3 linked regions of the Cricetulus griseus genome follow. The protein of the gene in region 3 interacts with the protein of the main gene of each other region in a biochemical or structural test. Links are inferred from orthologs where the notes say so. Each region holds a gene or a part of one and is shown on either strand. Other genes may lie near its edges.

Region 1 (4,975 bases), on a different chromosome or scaffold from region 3:
TGCAAACAAAAGGCTCAAACATGGTGGTCATTCAGGTTAGACAGAGTTAGTTCTGATTCTTACAATCCTCTGAAGTCACTCTTTTTTTGGTTTTTCAAGACAGGGTTTCTCTGTATTGCTTTGGAACCTGTCCTGGAACTTGCTCTGTAGACCAGGCTAGCTCTGAAATCACAGAGATCCCCCTGCCTCTGCCTCCAGTGCTGGGATTAAAGGCGTGCACCACCAATGCCGGCTGAAATCACTCTTGAGACAGGGTCAAGTAGACCAGGCTAGCCTTGAACCTACTATGTAGTGGGAGATGACCTTCAAGTTCTAATCCTCTTGCTTCTGCACTTGGTTTACTTGGGGCTAAGTATGGAACCTGGGGTTTCTGGCATTCCAGGCACGCTATTAGCTGAACTGCAACCTCAGCTCTTGAAATCACTTCAACTTCTTACAACATCAAGGTCCCCCTGGGACCACCAGCCAGCCCTCCAGCCCTGTCCCATCCACAGATACAGAGAACAGCCCAAACCTTTCCTGTACACGGGAACCATTTATTGTAGAAAATAATAATTACAGCTGTGAATAGTTCTTAAATTACAAAACAAGAAACCACAGAGAAGGCAGGGGAGTCCCGGGAGACTCCCTCTTGCAACGCCATTGCCCCCATACCTTCCGCAGACTGGCCAGCGTCCTTGAAATTTACAAGGGTAGGGAGTTCAGAGGGGCGGCTCAAGAGGCCCAGGGTCTTGGGGGGGGGGGTGCAGAGAGCGGGACATTTAGCAAGACAGTACCAGAAAGGGGTGGGGACAGCCTGGGCTGCTTCTAGGTCCCCAGCACCAGCACTCCCCAAACCAGTTTAATCCACCTCCGCCCTTCCCTCAAACCCGTCCATCCACTCCACACAACTCTATTTGGAGGGTAGGTGGGTGGGTAATGCCCAGTCATTGTCAGTCACTGGGGTTCCACGGCAGAATCCATCCGGCTCTCAAGTCCCCTCAGTCACAGTCATCTTGGTCACACCAAGGCTCCAGGTAGGGCCAGGTGTGCTCAGAAACATGGGGCACAATGGCAAGAGTAGCGCCGGAGTAACAGGTGTGGGCAGAGAGAGTGAGGATAGAAAAGGGTCAGTGCAGGTGCTAGCATGAGCAGGACACCCACTGGGGGGCCCAAAGTCACAGCTGAGCTATCCCGGCCAGCAGGACCCAGCTCCCCGCTCCACTGCGGTACCCAGCAGTTTCTGCCTTCAGCCCTGCATCCATGAGCAATTTGAACGGGGGCAGCAAGGAAATACTTTTACATTCATCCTTGCCGGAGTAAGGAGCCTTGAGACGTGTCCAAGCGAGGCAGATGGCTCCCAAGGGCTACTTTAGCCAGTAACTTAGCACAATCCGGGCTTGCTGTCCCCAGCAACTAGTGGCCCATAGCAGGGCAGGTCCCGAGGGAAGTGAGGATATCACAGGCTATTGTGAACTCAATCCGAGGTGAAAAAAAAAAAATAACAAAGGCAATGGGGACATAGCAGAGTGGCCCACCTTACACATAGTTGCTGGCGGGAGCAGAGCGGGCGGCGGAGTACTTAGCGGAGTAGGGCTTGTCGTTGCTACGAGGTGGGCAGCTGCAACAGAGCAGGCCTCCTCCCAGGAGCAGCAGCCCGGAGGCTGCCCAGCCGATGTAAAGCGAAGCTCCCATCTCCCTTTTCTGCCCGGCAACTACCAGCGGATTGTAGAAGTCGCGGATGACGTTGTGTGCGGTCCAAGATATAGGCACCATAGCCAGCAAGGCTGCCACGATGAACACCGCGCCGGCTCCGATCATGGTCTTGGCCTTGGTGGTCTCGTCTTCCATGCAGTTGGTGCACTTGCCCCCTACCACTGAGAGAAGCATCCCCACCGCTGCCACGAGGATGCAGACGACCATGAGGGCTCGGGCGGCCTGCAGGTCCTGCGGCAGGGCCAGCAGCGAGTCGTACACCTTGCACTGCATCTGGCCGGTGCTCTGCACCACGCAGTTCATCCACAGGCCCTCCCAGCTGGTCTGCGCCGTGACGATGTTGCTGCCGATGAAGGCGGTCACCCGCCACATGGGGAGCGCACAGCTCAGAATAGCGCCCAGCCAGCCCAGGACCGCCAAGGCGATTCCCAGCACTTGTAGTCCCATGGACGCCATGGCTCAGTCTCTGCAGGGTTCAAGGTTGGAGACCACAAAAAAGTATCTCTCTCTCTCTGGCAGCTATAGAAGTCCGAGGGCTGGCAAAGCTTTTTCTGGTGAGCCTCAGGGACACGAAGCAAGCCGGAGAAGCTGAGTCGGGTACACCAGCTACCAAGCGCCTTCCTGCCCGCACCTGCAACCAGGACAGGAGGCCGCAGGTGCAGCAGTTAAAGCACGGTGGAGGAGGGGCGGAGGCAGAGGGAGGGGTTTCAGTCCCCAGGCCTCCCTCCTGACCAGTTTCTCTGGATTCCTGAACCTAGGCCAACAAAGGCGTTCTGAGGCCCCAATTCTGGGCCCCTGAGTCACTTGCTGGTATCACAGGAAACTATCATCTCCCCCAGCTCCCCAGGCTCGTGCTAAGGTCAGTCGAGAGACAGACACTGAGTCACCAGCCAAAAGCACCTGGGTGCTCACCGGGTGGGGACACTAGGAGAAACAAGCAGCCAAGCCTAGCTAGGGTTCGGAGCTGAAGGCGAGGGTCCCCAAGACTCATATTGGGCTCCCGTGAGATAAGAAAATGGAGAGCCCGATCTGAGGATAATGCCTGAGAACGTCCAAGAGAAACCCTGTCGTAATTAGTGCTGCTTTTACCCTCTCAATTTTATCACTGTCATCATGGCTATTATTGTCATTAACGTGGCAGCACCTGTACTTTGCCTCAACAGCAACTTTCCTACCATTAGCCAGAGGAAGTCGGTGTGGGGAAATGAGGATCTGCGGGGGTGAGGGTTGGGGACTCAGAGCCAGATCACCTACTGTCTTCATTTCCCTCTCAAGTGATTGATTTCCCCACCCAGCCAGAGTGCCTCGGGGTTTAGAGGTGAGGCACTTTGGGCCAGGGCAAGAGACGCAGAAGGGCTGATGAGAGGGTTCAGTGGGTAAAGGTGCTTGCTGCTAAGCCCCACGGACCTGGTTTTGATCCCTGAGACCTACGTTATAGGACACACATATGTCCTCTGATGCACAAATACAATAAGTAAATGTAATTTAAAATTGAGTGTTGGTGGCACACGCCTTTGATCCCAGCACTCGGGAGGCAGAGGCAGGCGGATCTCTGTGAGTTCGAGGCCAGCCTGGTCTCCAGAGCGAGTGCCAAGACAGCCTCCAAAGCTACACAGAGAAACCCTGTCTCAAAAACCAAAAAAAAAAAAATTGTGGGTAGTGGTAGTGACAAAATCCTGTCTCCTCTTCCTGGGACTGAGCCTACTTGGCCAGAACTGGGTAAAGAAGAATTAAAAACCCTAACAGGCTACAGAAGATGATTTATCCTGTAAACTGATGTTTACTCTTGCAAGGCAAGGGAGCCATTCCCATAAAAGCCAACCTGGGCACAAAGTCCCTGGAGACTTCCAAGAGAAAGGGGACCTCCAACCAGGGGTGCAGACAGGGAGCTCAACAGAGAAGGTGTGCTCCTAGGCACAGTTCTAGGGGGCATTATATTGAGAAACACACACCCTCTCCCCTGGGATTGTGCAAGGCTGTGGGGATTGGGTCAAAGAGGACATCTCAGGGAGAGGACAGCATGGAGGTGGGGGTCAGATAGATGTTTTGCAAGACAAGGAATCTAGTTTGACCAGAGACTGGCCTTGGGGGGTGGGGGGTAGTCTCAAACGCTCCCTTACCCCCACCCTGCCTGGGTACAAAGGACAGAGTCAAACAGTCTTTCTGAGGACAAGCTGAGAAGGGAGCACGTGCACCCCAAAGGCATCTGGGAAATGCAAGAAGGGAGAAACAGTGGGCTCTAGTGTGGGCAGTCGGAACTGAGGAGGGCGTCATTGGTACAGCGCCCTCTAATCACAGCCAGATCTGGGCTCCTTTTATTTGCCCTGGCCTCCTGGTGTGCATGCCTCAATTGTGTGTGTAACAGCTCTGGCTGTTCTGGAACTCACTCTGTAGACCAGGCTGGCCTTGAACTCAGAGATCTGCCGGCCTCTGCTTCCTTAGTGCTGGGATTAAAGGCGTGCACCACCACCACCGGCTTGTGTTTCTCTTCTTACCTTGCGGGGTAAACGCCACAAAGACCATAGCTGCCATAAATCCCTCCCTGATCACTATCCAGAACTCCACCCTAACCCTGCTACCCTGGGCTGCCTGTGAGTCCAATTCCAACCCAAACGGACACAGAATCTTTTTGTTGTTGTTGTTATTTTGTTTTTTTGAGACAGGGTTTCTCTGTGGCTTTGGAGGCTGCCTTGGAACTAGCTCAGTAGACCAGGCTGGCCTCGAACTCACAGATCTGCCTGCCTCTGCATTCCTAGTGCTGAACTAAAGGCATGCACCACCACTGCCTGGCTTCAGAATCTTTTTAAATATTTCCTTTTAGTCCCCGTACTTGAGGCTGGGGTGTCAGGATGGAGCCCCGGCTGTCCCCAAATTCTCCATGCTTCTTCCTCATCCTCCTGGTGCTGGGATTACAGGTGTGCACCACCATATGCAACAAACGCATAGTCCTCGATCTTAAAGAAGGCCATCTTCCTTCTGCGGTCATGCCATGTGGTCCTTGGGTGCTCAGTACTTGGAATTCATTGGAAAGTGACTCTTGGCTACCTAATGAACCCCAGAGTTAGAAGAACCAATGGAGCAGGTGTCCCCTCCATGCTACAAGCGTGGGGTTACAGCCTTGAAGATGCACTTCCATGCCCCTTTCTGATCTGGGGGCTCATGAAGCCAAAAGCAAGGTCTTATTCCGGTTAAGTGCTCCAGCTAGGTGTGGCAGCCAATACCTGCGATCTCAGCTTTTGAGAGGGAGAGGCAGGACTATCACAAATTCAAGGCCAGACTG
Region 2 (4,813 bases), on a different chromosome or scaffold from region 3:
GCATGTTAGAGGAAACCTCACTCATGGGCCTTCCTTGCTGGTGCTGAGGTTTTGACGAGATGTGCTGGGTATCTTCTGAAGGTGGTGATATTAGGCTGGTGGGGAAAAGACGTCTCTTGTTTCTGATCCCCACCTGTCACAGACGAAATGGAGTAGTTTAAGACCTTGAAAGTGAAACTGTTTGGCTGAGAACCGTTCTCTGTTCTCCCAACTCAAGCACAATCCCAGGCAGCAGTTCAACTATCACTCAGATCATAGATGTTTCATGCTGGAGACCTTGCAGCCCTGCCAGAGAATCTTCTGATGGGCAATGACATGAGTATTAAAAATGACCAACAACTTATCTGGTGCTATGGTCTTTCAGAGGCTCTCAAGTGTTCCAAGTGTAGACCAACGGGCTGTTTTCCCATTAAGTCTGAAGTTGCTGGTGGGGCTGCCTCTGAAACAGTAGGAGCACGCATGACAACCATCATACGTGTCCACCCAGCTTCTTAGATCCGGAAGTTCTTACTCTTTCTTGGCCAGGGTTAAGTTATCTTTCTTAGTCCTCTACGGTTGGCATACTGAAGGGCAGTTCTAGAAAAACTGGTTTGTTGTTCCCAAGGAAACCTTTGTCTAGGGCTCCAAGTCGTGTGGTTTAGCCAGGAGGCTAGGTCAGACACCCCAGAGAGGGCAGAGGCTTCAGTGGTAGTTGTTAACTGCAGCTTCTTGGCAATTAATTCCTCAGTGGAGTCAAAGTGCTGCAGCCTTGTGCTTTCCTGCAACTATGCTTCCACAAGAGTATGGGAATCAGAGGAAGTGCCCTGAGTGTGATTCTGATGGTCTGGGGGGTCCCATGTTGCCTCCCATCCTATACCCAGTTGCTTTCTTCTGGATGCCATGAGATATCGTTCTTTCCGTTCATTCCAGACCAGTCTGGACATGCTGCATTAATAACAAAGGTGGGAGGGAGGCTTCGGGCCTGCTACTGATCAATCCATTTCTTTGGATGGAGGTTTGAGAAGGGAGCTAGAGCCATGCTCACAGAAGCCACCACTCCTTCTTCTGTCTGTCCCCCAGCAACTGAGTTAAGAGCCAACCTCAACCCGGGAAAAGGTCTTCTGGTCACAGATTGTCAGTGGGATGTGATTAGTGGGTTGGGGGCATGGATTTCCAGGTAAAGCAAAGGTCAGAAGAATGCCTCTGGGTTTAGCCAAAAGTAGCAGAGATGGGATTTGGAGTTTTAGTTTGAGCATTCAGGGTACAGGAGGTGCCTTGGTGAGGCAAGGTAAGGGAAGTAGAAAAGCTGGCTTGGTGAGTATCCTTGGCAATTCAACCTAGATGGTGTCTCACCAGTCCCCATCTTTGCCTTCCCTCCATCCAATGACCACAGTCAGTCTAGCCTCAGCAGCACCTTACACATGATTCAGTGGCAATGTCCCTTGCCTGTGACCCTCAGGGCATTGTCCACTACTTTTTTGTTGCTTTTTACAGTCCCAGTCACCACCCCACCCCATCCCCAGCTCTGGCCCTGGTTCTTCACACATACCCAGTCAGGCTGTAGGAGTTGAACTCACTCTTGGCTTTGAGCTGTTGACCAGGCCTTGGAGAGCTCCTAGTGGCAAGAGGCTGGGCCTGGTAGCCATCATAGTAGTTGGTACGATTTCCTCGAGGCGAGCAGGAAAAGCAGAGAATAACTCCAGCTACCAGGGAGAACAGGGATGAGATAATGCCCAAGTAAAGCGCCTCTCCAATCTCAAATTTCATGCTGTCTGGAACCAGTGGTGAGTAGAAGTCCCGAAGGATGCCATGAAGATTCCAGGCAACTGGGATAAAACCCAGGATGCCGCCAAGGATGAAGAAAACTCCACCCACTACAGCCACTCTGTCCTTAGCTCGAGATTCCTGGCAGAACACTGTGCATCTCATGCCCACCACAGAGATAATGCAGGCCAGTGAGGACATTGCACTGGATGTCACCATCATGGCCTGGGCAGCCTGGATGTCAGCAGGAAGTCCTAGAAGTGTACTGTAGATGTCACACTGGGTGATGCCTGTGCTGTGCGTAGCACACTCCATCCAGAGGCCCTTGGAAAAGCCAACCGCTGTCACAATGCTGGCACCAACATAAGAACTTGTTCGCCAGTTGGGAAGCAACATGGCAATCGATGTGCCTAAAAGCCCCAAAAGGCCTAGGATGTAGCCCACCAGTTGGACGCCAAGGGAGGCCATGGCAGACCTCTCAATAGAAGTCTCTTCGGAGCCCGTTCTCTTGTCTTTTGGCTGCTGCTCTTGTTTCTTGGATCCCAGCCTCTAATCCCTCATCTCACAGTGTCTCTGGCAAGCTGACTTCTTCCCTCCTTACAAGTATCTGTGGGTGGCCACAAGCAGGCTCAAGAAGGCATCTAGAAATCCTTAAAAAAAAAAAAAAAACCATAAACCAGATTAAATATTGACCAGAAGCTTATGAGAAACCAGAAAACGCTGGATGCCTTTTGACCTTTGTTATCTTTAAAAATAACACATGAGAAAGAAAAAAAAAACTTTGGAAGTAGAGCCAAAATGTCATCACCTCCTGCGTAGGCACATGCTTTAGGTTGGCAGTCAGACAAAGAAAGGCAGGGGCCAGACAGGTGGCTGCTTTCCGAGAAGGTAGTGATGGCAATAGCAGTTGTGGTGTGTTAACTCTACTGCCTGTCTCCAAGGCCTGCTATTTAACATATTGCCAAGCAACCACACCACAGGGCCCCTCAATTGCAGACTGAGGCCAAACTCCAGGAGACTGGATCGTGTGGAACAAGTCTTAGAATGCGGCCTTGGACTCCAGTTTGTTAGAGGCTACTTGAATTGCCAAGTACTGGCTTACCCCAGAATCATTTTGCCTATGGCAATAATGGATTTCCAGGGCGAATCAGGGTGGGAAACAAAGCTTTCTGTCCACTCTCTGAGAGGTCAGGTCTTTTAGCCTTGCTCAGATCCCTCCCTGCAAGGCAGAATAAGAGCCCCAAAAAGGTATAGCACACCGGGTATTTCCTGTCTCCTCTCCTAACAAATGATCCCATGACCAGCCTCTCAAATGACATGGGAGGACTCTAAAGAAAAACTGTTGAACTCCAGGTCCCAGGGGTCCTCAAGGTCCCTGGCTCGTCAGAGACAGTAGAAAAAGTGGAGGGGAGGGAATCTGCTCCAGTAGTAGAGGACTTTGCAAAAGGTAGGCAGACATTCAGTGATTGATGGGATTTTGCAGTGTTAGGCGATTTCGCCGTTTCCAAGGCTCCAGATTCAGAGGTCAAAGTAACACTCCTCCAGCACCTTCTGCAAGACTGTTCAGTCCACAAATTTTCAACCCAATACACCATTGCTACTCCATCTTCACCTTCCTCAATATTTTTTTTTTGTGTGTGGGAGGGCTGGAGAGATGATGGCTCAGTGGTTAAGAGCACTGGTTGCTCTTCCAGAGGACCTAGGTTCAATTCCCAGCACTTGTGTGGGGTCTCATAACTGCCAGTAACTCTAGCTCCATCTCGGATGCCCTCTTCTGGCCTCTGCCAGCACCTGGCACACAAGTGATGCACAGACATTCATACAGGCAAAACGCTCATATGCATAGAAAACAAATGTTTTAAAATTTCTCTTTCACATTGCTCAGGGATCCATTCTTTCCTGAATTAAAACTCTAGAAATTAACAAGCGCACCTACTCTATTACCTAATCTGTTCCCTATCCAAATCTAAATTTTCAGTGGAAACTCTCCTAACAATCAACACAGGCAATGGGATCTTCTAATAAAAAAATTCTGGGAGGAGGTGATTGAGACTTATCTCAGTGGGAGTATGGAAAAGTCTTATGACATCCCCGTCTGACATTTTCAAAAGAACACAGCCCCTCTCCCTCTGTACCTCCTGATCAGTTCTTGCCTGGGTCCTATGTTGTCACCAAATGGTAATCCTCTCCATCTAGATCAATATCCCAGGAGTGATCCTTGTCACCCTGCTCCTGTTTAACCCTGCATCTTATAAATATGACGTTCCACCACTACTTCCTAATTCGGGGCTTCACCTGGGTAAACAATAGTTTTATAACTGGTCTTACTTCCAGTCTTGTCTAGCCCAATTCAGTCTCCTCATGGTGGCCATGATGATCTTTCAGCACATGAATCGGAAGAGGTCATTTGAATGTGTGTCCACATGTGCCTACATGTAGGTGCGTGGACATGCGCACACAAACGTTCCCCAGGTTGGGCAGGGGTGCCACTGGAGGCATAAACCTGTGGATGTCAGATGTTGACTTCAGGTATCTTCCTAGATTTTTCTCCATCTTATCTTTCGAGGTCTTGATAATTTATTTTATCAAACACTCATGCATACATGTGTGTGCATGTGGAGGTCAGAGGCCAACTTGTGGGAGAGTTGGTTCCCTCCTGCCACCATGTGAGATCTGGTGATCAAATGCAGGTTGTTAGACTTGACAGCAAGGACCTTTCCTCACTGAACTCTATCGTCACCTTCTGCCTTTATTTTTATTTTGAGAGGTCTCTCACTGACCCTGAAGCTTGTTGTTTTCACTGGCATGTGAACCCTTGTGATCTGCTTCCTCCTCACCCACTCTGAGTGCACATGCCTCCACACCCAGGTTTACTTTTTACATTGTTCCTGGAGAGCTGAACTCAAGTCTTCATGTTTTCCCAAGTTACTACTCTTAAGACATTCCAATGGCCCACTGTTGACCAAAGGATAAAATCCACATTTGTTTGAACTCCATGACCCCCAAGATTCACCTGCTCATACTCCATAAGGTGACTGAACTAAATTGCTTTCGGCTCTCCAGTCATGTC
Region 3 (6,676 bases):
TGATACAACTTGAAATTCCAGAAACCATTCAACTCCCTTCAGTAACTGTTGATGGGTCAGCCAATGAAAATGTTCCTAATAATTAATACTATTTTCTTACCTAGTTAAACAATTATTTGGTAAGGCAGAGAACCATCCCCAAATTTCTGTTTTCAACTTCCAAATAGCTGTTACCAAGTACACTAGTAAGCAAAATTCAATGCAAATTCAGATACGCATCATACAGATAAAAGGCTTTTTCCTTTATTTACTGAACATCATGCACAGAGAATCCCTTTTCAAACGTGTGTGTGTGTGTGTGTGTGTGTGTGTGTGTGTGTGTGTGTGTGTGTGTACACGTAGTACTCAGGCATGTGTTGTGAGCTCAAGAGCTTATGTCTCCCTACACATTTCTCCTAGTGCTTTTTCAGTTATTTTTTTCAAACACTTAAAACTTCATGAGGAGCATCGAAGGAAGGATGGCTTAGTGGATAAAGGTGGTTGTAACTCACAGATGCTAGACTGACCAAAGCCACAAAATTGTCATCCACTGGGTTGCCACAGCATGTGTGCATTCCCATCAGACACCCACAATAAATAACAACTACAACAAAGATTCTTCTGGATTTTGTTACATAAAAGAAACATTTTTTTTAAAAAAAGATACCCGCCTTAGTAGTCTTATTTATTGAATAAAGGATCCTTTCCCAATAATCTATTCTTATTTTGACATATATTCAGTTTTCCCTTTTGTTGGGCTAAGAGTGCAAACTATTTCCACTTTCACAGCATTACTGTGAGAATTAAGTGAATTACCAACACAAAACAACCACAGTACATATTAAAAGTTGATCACAAACACTAACAGCCAATAAATAAGTACTATTTATTTATTTCTGAATAATAAGTATTATTTATTTATGGCTGTGTGGCGCCATTCTCTATTCCTGAAGCAATAGCCTACTTTAAATTACTCTGAATTTATAATACATTAGATTATCTGAAAGGACTTTCTCCCTCCATTCATTTATGTGGTAAGATAAACATCAAACTATCATGTTTTCTATAATACCACACTGGAATTCTACTTGGAACTGCACTGCACTTACACATCAATTCAGGGACCATGGGTAGGTTCTGACTCTCTTCACCCAGAGTTTGATTCCCCTAGATTTGGGTAACAAACCATCATTTGTTGTATTTATTCTTAAGTATAGGCTCTGGAGGAAGATTTTAATGGGTATATCAGAATTTCAAATGAACTCTTTGACATAGCAATTTCATTTTTAAGAATTTGCCATACAGTAGTAAGTGGACAGATACAAAAATGTAAATACAATTATTTAAAGTGTACTCATTGCAGTAACAATATCCTGGAAACAAGCCAAACATCTCCTCAAAAAGGCAATGATGACCTGAGCAGCAAGATGAAAATTACTCAACCATTACAAGAATACAGAATCAAAAGCATTGGCTTATACACAAGCTCTACAACTGTTGTGCTGCAAAATTAGTGTCTGTAAAATATTTTAACAGGGGTGGGAAAAACAAAAGCACCCTATGTAAAGCACTGACAGAGTTGAGCTCTTAAGCAAAACAATAAATGTGACTTAGGGAAACAACTGGTTAGCACTGCATTTACCTGTTCACTTATGGTGGGTTCTAGCTTTATGTAGACTTCAAAGTGTGCCCCAATACAGCATCCAAGAAAATAATTCTTCAATTACCAGCTAAGCATGCAAATATTTGACTAGAGAAGCATTGCCATGTTCCATAAAAATCTCAATATCATAATTTATGTGTAAGCACACCTTCTAAATCACCTTGCCATAGCAAGCTATTGGAAACACTTCTCTAGTAATAACACTTTCCAACTGTGTTGTCTTGAATAACAAGTACCAGGGCTCACACTTCGAAACAAAGTGACATTCTGTGTAATATGGCAACAAAGCCTTTCTTCCCAGGAAGTCCCAGCAAAGGTAAATAACAAGTTTTATGTTTTATAAGTAACAAAATGTTGCACTGATTCTAGTTTTTGGTCCCAGGCTTACGTTTTAGATCGGTCATCAATGTGCCTTCAAATAAGATACAAGCATTATTACTAAGGGAGGAATACTCCATTCCTTAAAACAATCTATTCACTACTAACTGTAACCGCTAACTACTGCCAGCCAAAAGACAAGGTCCTATTAAGAATTCAGGCGCTTCCTTCTATCTGCTCCCTAAGGTTATGATTAAGTATTTCTAATAGAAAAATATATAAAATCACCACCTGTTTTAAGTTGTTTGAGTAATGGATTTTTTTTTAAAGGGAGTTTTTTCACTCATCACATTTTGTGTTCCTATCATTGTTTGAAAGACCAAGTACTAAAATGCATAAATGGGAAGAATTCTAACTCGATTTTTAAAATTTTTTGGCTTAATGTAGTACTTAATAACATAAGGCATGCTGTGTCAAGAAACACACTTCAAAACACACGGGGAAATGGACCGGAACGTTGTTTTGTGCAGAATTCATCGGGTATTTTCTGTTGTTGAGTCCATCTTATTGTCCATGTGCAGGGACACTTTGTGATACTTTTGAAAGTTGAAATTAAAGTGTTAAGAACTTTCCTCCTCTGATGCCTCACATAAATATTAAAGCTAAAAAAAAAAAAAATCTTAGCTACTCTCGAGCTGAGTGTTTTGCTGTCTCAAAGCTTTATCGCTGCCATTGCGCATACCGCAGCGGGTGACATCAGATCGAAACTACAGGGTTTCGCCGGGTACCAACCACTCCTCCGGAGACAGCCCGAGCTACCCACCGGCCTGCTGCAGGTGACACCCCTGGGTCTCAGCAGACACGCTCTCGGAGACATGAGAATCCTCACCCGGGGCGACTTTCCAGGCGCGAGACCTGTTGCACGTCGCCTCCCAGCGCGAGCCGGAGCCAGGCACCGGCAGCCGTGCACCTGCCCGGGCGGCAGGCGCGTCTCCAGCCCGCCTTCCTTCCCTGCCTCCCCGCCCCGCCACCGTCGCCCCCGGCTGCCGCCCGCGGGGAGGGCGGGGCGAGGCCCCCCGCAGGGCCCCGGGTCCTCCACCGCCCCGCCCGCAGCCCGGCGGGCCGTGAGCCCTCACCTTAGCGGCCGCGGCCCTGGCGGACATCTTGTCTCTCTCGGCGCCGCGCGAGGCTCCTCGGACCCGAAACTCCGCGCCGCCGGCCCGCCCGCCCGCTCCTCACGCCACCGTCCGCATAAACATCTCCCGGGGACGAGCGGGGCAGGGGCGGGGGCGGCCGGAAAGGCCCGGCCCACGGGGAGGGGATTCAAGTGGGACAAAAGTCCGGGAAGCGTCCGCCCCGCCCGGGCTTCTCCGCGGGGCACACCCGGCCGCCTGCTCGGCCTCCGCCGCCCTCGGCCCGCTCGCCGCTCCGCAGGACCGAGACCCCCGGCCGTCCCCTCCGCCCTCGGGCGTCTCCTCAGAAACCTGCTCCCGCACGTAACTTCCCCGGAACGCGTGGCCGCCGAGAGACGTGCCGTCGGCGGGCAGAGCCGTCGCGGGCAACTCAAGCAGCCACGCAAAACCTGCCGGACCGGGCCACTGAGCATGCCCAGCCGGCGGGGGCGGGGCCTCGGCGAGGGGCGGGGCCAGGCCGGCTCCGACCCCCGCGCGGAAGGAAAAGCTCAGCTCTCCAAGTAACTTGCTAGGCGGTTTCCGCTGCCGCGCGAGCCATCCTGTTTGCTTCTATGAAAGATCCGGCAGAATTCGCCCCGGAGAAGCCCACACCTCTATGTACCTAAGCTTTTCAACTCCCTACGGAGACTTGTCTACTCTCTTCCTAAGCCAGCCACCCCAGATCAGTCCCACGCAGGAGTGTGGCAGGAAAGGCGAGCCTGGCCAATACCTGACTGTGGTTTCCTTAACCTCGCAAGTAACAATGGTCACAACTGTCACCACGTGTCTGGGCATTGTTACCCTATTGAAGAGAGATGTGTTTTTGTTTGAAGTACATCAGAAGCGCTCTAGCAGGCTCAGAACAAGCCAACTGCCTTAAATAAACCAAGTTACAGATCTAGGCATCCAGAGATAATCCCAGCCACTTTCTTTCTCATGCCTCCCTAGACATTTTTGGGCTATCAAGATTGCTGAAATTCTTGGCCCCTGAAGAGATAGACCAGGCTGCCTGCCTTTCTGAAAACCATGCCCTCCAGCTCAAGCTGGACAAAAAAGTATGTAAGTACATGCGGAACTCACCACCAGTTCAATCGGCCACCGCGCAAACTTAGGCCAGCTAGCTACCTTGATGAACAGGAAAAATAGGTAGAAAACCACTTCGAGCTTCATTAAGTTACACTCTGTATACTGCAAAGCTCTTCACAGATATCAAGAATTTTTAGTAACATTAAATAACATCCTTAAAGTACCTATTATAATGCTACGATGGCCAGGCAAGGTAGAGTGGGGCATGAACATAGGGTTAAACAATAGTTTTTAGAATTCAGCTACGTGACAGAATCAAACTTACTTCTAAGAAATATCTGTATATGACAATTAAGATTTCAAAATCATGTGTTTTGCAACTCTAAGCTAGTTGAACTAGAAAAAAAAATTATGCAAACCAAACCCTATTTCTTGCCATGAAAGAAACCAATTAAAGTCATTTTTTTTGTTTTAGTCATATTGCATGTGATTGTTTCAAAGGCAAAGTGCCCTGTGTTCTCTTAAGAAGAGTGATTAAATTTTTCCTCTGAGAAAACAGCATCACAAAACACTTAGATGTTTTGTATTTTTAGAAAGTGGTTATTGAAGGTCTTTCACATCAGTGCGTTAACTTTTAATAAAATGCATTCTGCAAACCTGCCTAGAGGCAGATGGGGTGTGTTATGCACATACTCTTCCTCTTTTCTCTTTGGACAATCTTCTATCATGTCTCCCACTGTATGAATTAAATGTTAGATATCTGCAACTTGTCTCAAATCCAGTATACCTGATTGATCTAATTTTTGTCATGGCTTTAAAAAAATGAAATCAATAAAAACGTTTCACTTTCATAATACTTTGCTTTAAAAAGTGTATCAAAAATTTCCAGTTAACATAACATTTTAAAATTTTCCAATGGTATTTTGAATAATGGAATTACATTATCTAAATTGAACTAAATGTTACACTAGGTAAATTGAACAGATATTCTTAATATCTAAACCAAACTATATTTGTGTATCTTCTCCAAATAGCAAGGGAAGTTCCTATCATTTATAGAAATTAAGCTGCCATAGTGACACCTATTAATTTGTATGCTAATAAAAATAAAGAAATCAGAAAATAATTTTAAAGAAAAACACTGTTGTCAGGAATCTAGCTCTGCCGCCCTACAGTTTATCTGTGGGAAGGTGCTTCAATATGACCTTTCCCCAGATAAACTGGAGTGGACAGAATATAGCATAATCTCTGAGACACACCCTTAACTTGAATAAGAGTTTATCCACTGAACACCAAAAAGTTTTCAAAGTGTACCATGACATTAATGAGTACAGATGAATGTGGCTACATTTTCTCTAGGTTTAAATCAAAAGGGAAGAAATCCAAGTGAGTTAGAGAATCTCATTTAGAGTTACAAGAAAGTTCAACCAAGAATTTCCCTTTGTGTACAGATTTCTTTCTGATCTAATGCAGAGGAACAGGAAACTAAAAACCACAACACTCAGAAGCACAACTTCCTGTGGGATTTCTGGTGTCTGTGGTCAGAATGCAAGAAGCACTAAGCATTCAGAGTCTTTAGAAATCTTAGACTTACTTAATAAAACAGCCCTGACTCAATGAACTATACCTACACTTACATTTTACATATGTGGATTTTTGTTTCCACTGTAAAAACAAAACAAAAAAACAACAACAATCTCTAAAAAAAAAACTTTATTAGTGTTACTTTTGGTAAGAGCTGTGAGTTTACTTTTGAAAAGGAAAGAGGAAATGTTGGGCACCATAAGGTGATCTTGATAACGCAACAGAAGAATACGTACACACACACACACACACACACACACACACACACACACACACACACACACACACCCCAACACTATTAGCAGGTATCATCATTGGATGTTTTGACCAGACCACATCACTAAAGAGTCTGCGAATGGCTTCAGGACTTTCATATGTCACAGAGCTGAGCAAAATGGGGAAGAAACTTTCCGTGACTTGTCAAGTTTCTAGAATCCTTAAACAAGCTGGGCATGGTGTGCACATCTTTAGCCATAGCAGAGGACAGAGGCTGGGGCAGGAGGACCTCAGTGATTCTGAGGCCAGCTTGTCTACATGTTTCCACGACAGCCAGGGCTATATAGGGTGACCTGTCTACATACATACATACATACATGCATGCATACATACGTATGGCTATCAATCCCAATTTTAGTTTATACTTATTTACTTCTCTCTCTCTCTCTCTCTCTCTCTCTCTCTCTCTCTCTCTCTCTCTCTCTTTGTGTGTGTGTGTGTGTGTGTGTGTGTGTGTGTGTGTGTATGATTGAGCACATGCATGTACATACCACACCATATATATGGAAGTCAGAAGACAACTTGGGGGTGGGGGAGTCAGTTCTTTCCTTCTACCAAATAGGTCCCAAGGATCAGACTCAGGTCATCAGGCTCACTAACCTGTTGAGCCATTTCACCAGCCCTTATTTATCTTATTTTAAAGTAAAAATTATAAATT

What was found. The genes of interacting proteins can lie anywhere in the genome.
Region 1: the proteins of Tjp1 (region 3) and Claudin-4 form a complex in vitro, tested with the Homo sapiens proteins (2 studies listed by BioGRID and IntAct, with this or other methods). The link is inferred for Cricetulus griseus from reciprocal best matches to the Homo sapiens genes TJP1 and CLDN4.
Region 2: the proteins of Tjp1 (region 3) and Cldn2 form a complex in vitro, tested with the Homo sapiens proteins (2 studies listed by BioGRID and IntAct, with this or other methods). The link is inferred for Cricetulus griseus from reciprocal best matches to the Homo sapiens genes TJP1 and CLDN2.

The regions. Positions count from the first base shown.
Region 1 is NC_048597.1:114,020,273-114,025,247, forward strand, and holds Claudin-4 (claudin-4), read right to left. Parts: upstream 2,152-4,975; coding exon 1,519-2,151; downstream 1-1,518. UniProt on the Homo sapiens protein: Can associate with other claudins to regulate tight junction structural and functional strand dynamics.
Region 2 is NC_048604.1:40,527,800-40,532,612, forward strand, and holds Cldn2 (claudin-2), read right to left. Parts: upstream 2,212-4,813; coding exon 1,519-2,211; downstream 1-1,518. UniProt on the Homo sapiens protein: Forms paracellular channels: polymerizes in tight junction strands with cation- and water-selective channels through the strands, conveying epithelial permeability in a process known as paracellular tight junction permeability.
Region 3 is NC_048596.1:131,895,931-131,902,606, reverse strand, and holds the start of Tjp1 (tight junction protein ZO-1), read right to left. Parts: upstream 3,540-6,676; 5' UTR 3,124-3,539; coding exon 3,097-3,123; intron 1-3,096. UniProt on the Homo sapiens protein: TJP1, TJP2, and TJP3 are closely related scaffolding proteins that link tight junction (TJ) transmembrane proteins such as claudins, junctional adhesion molecules, and occludin to the actin cytoskeleton.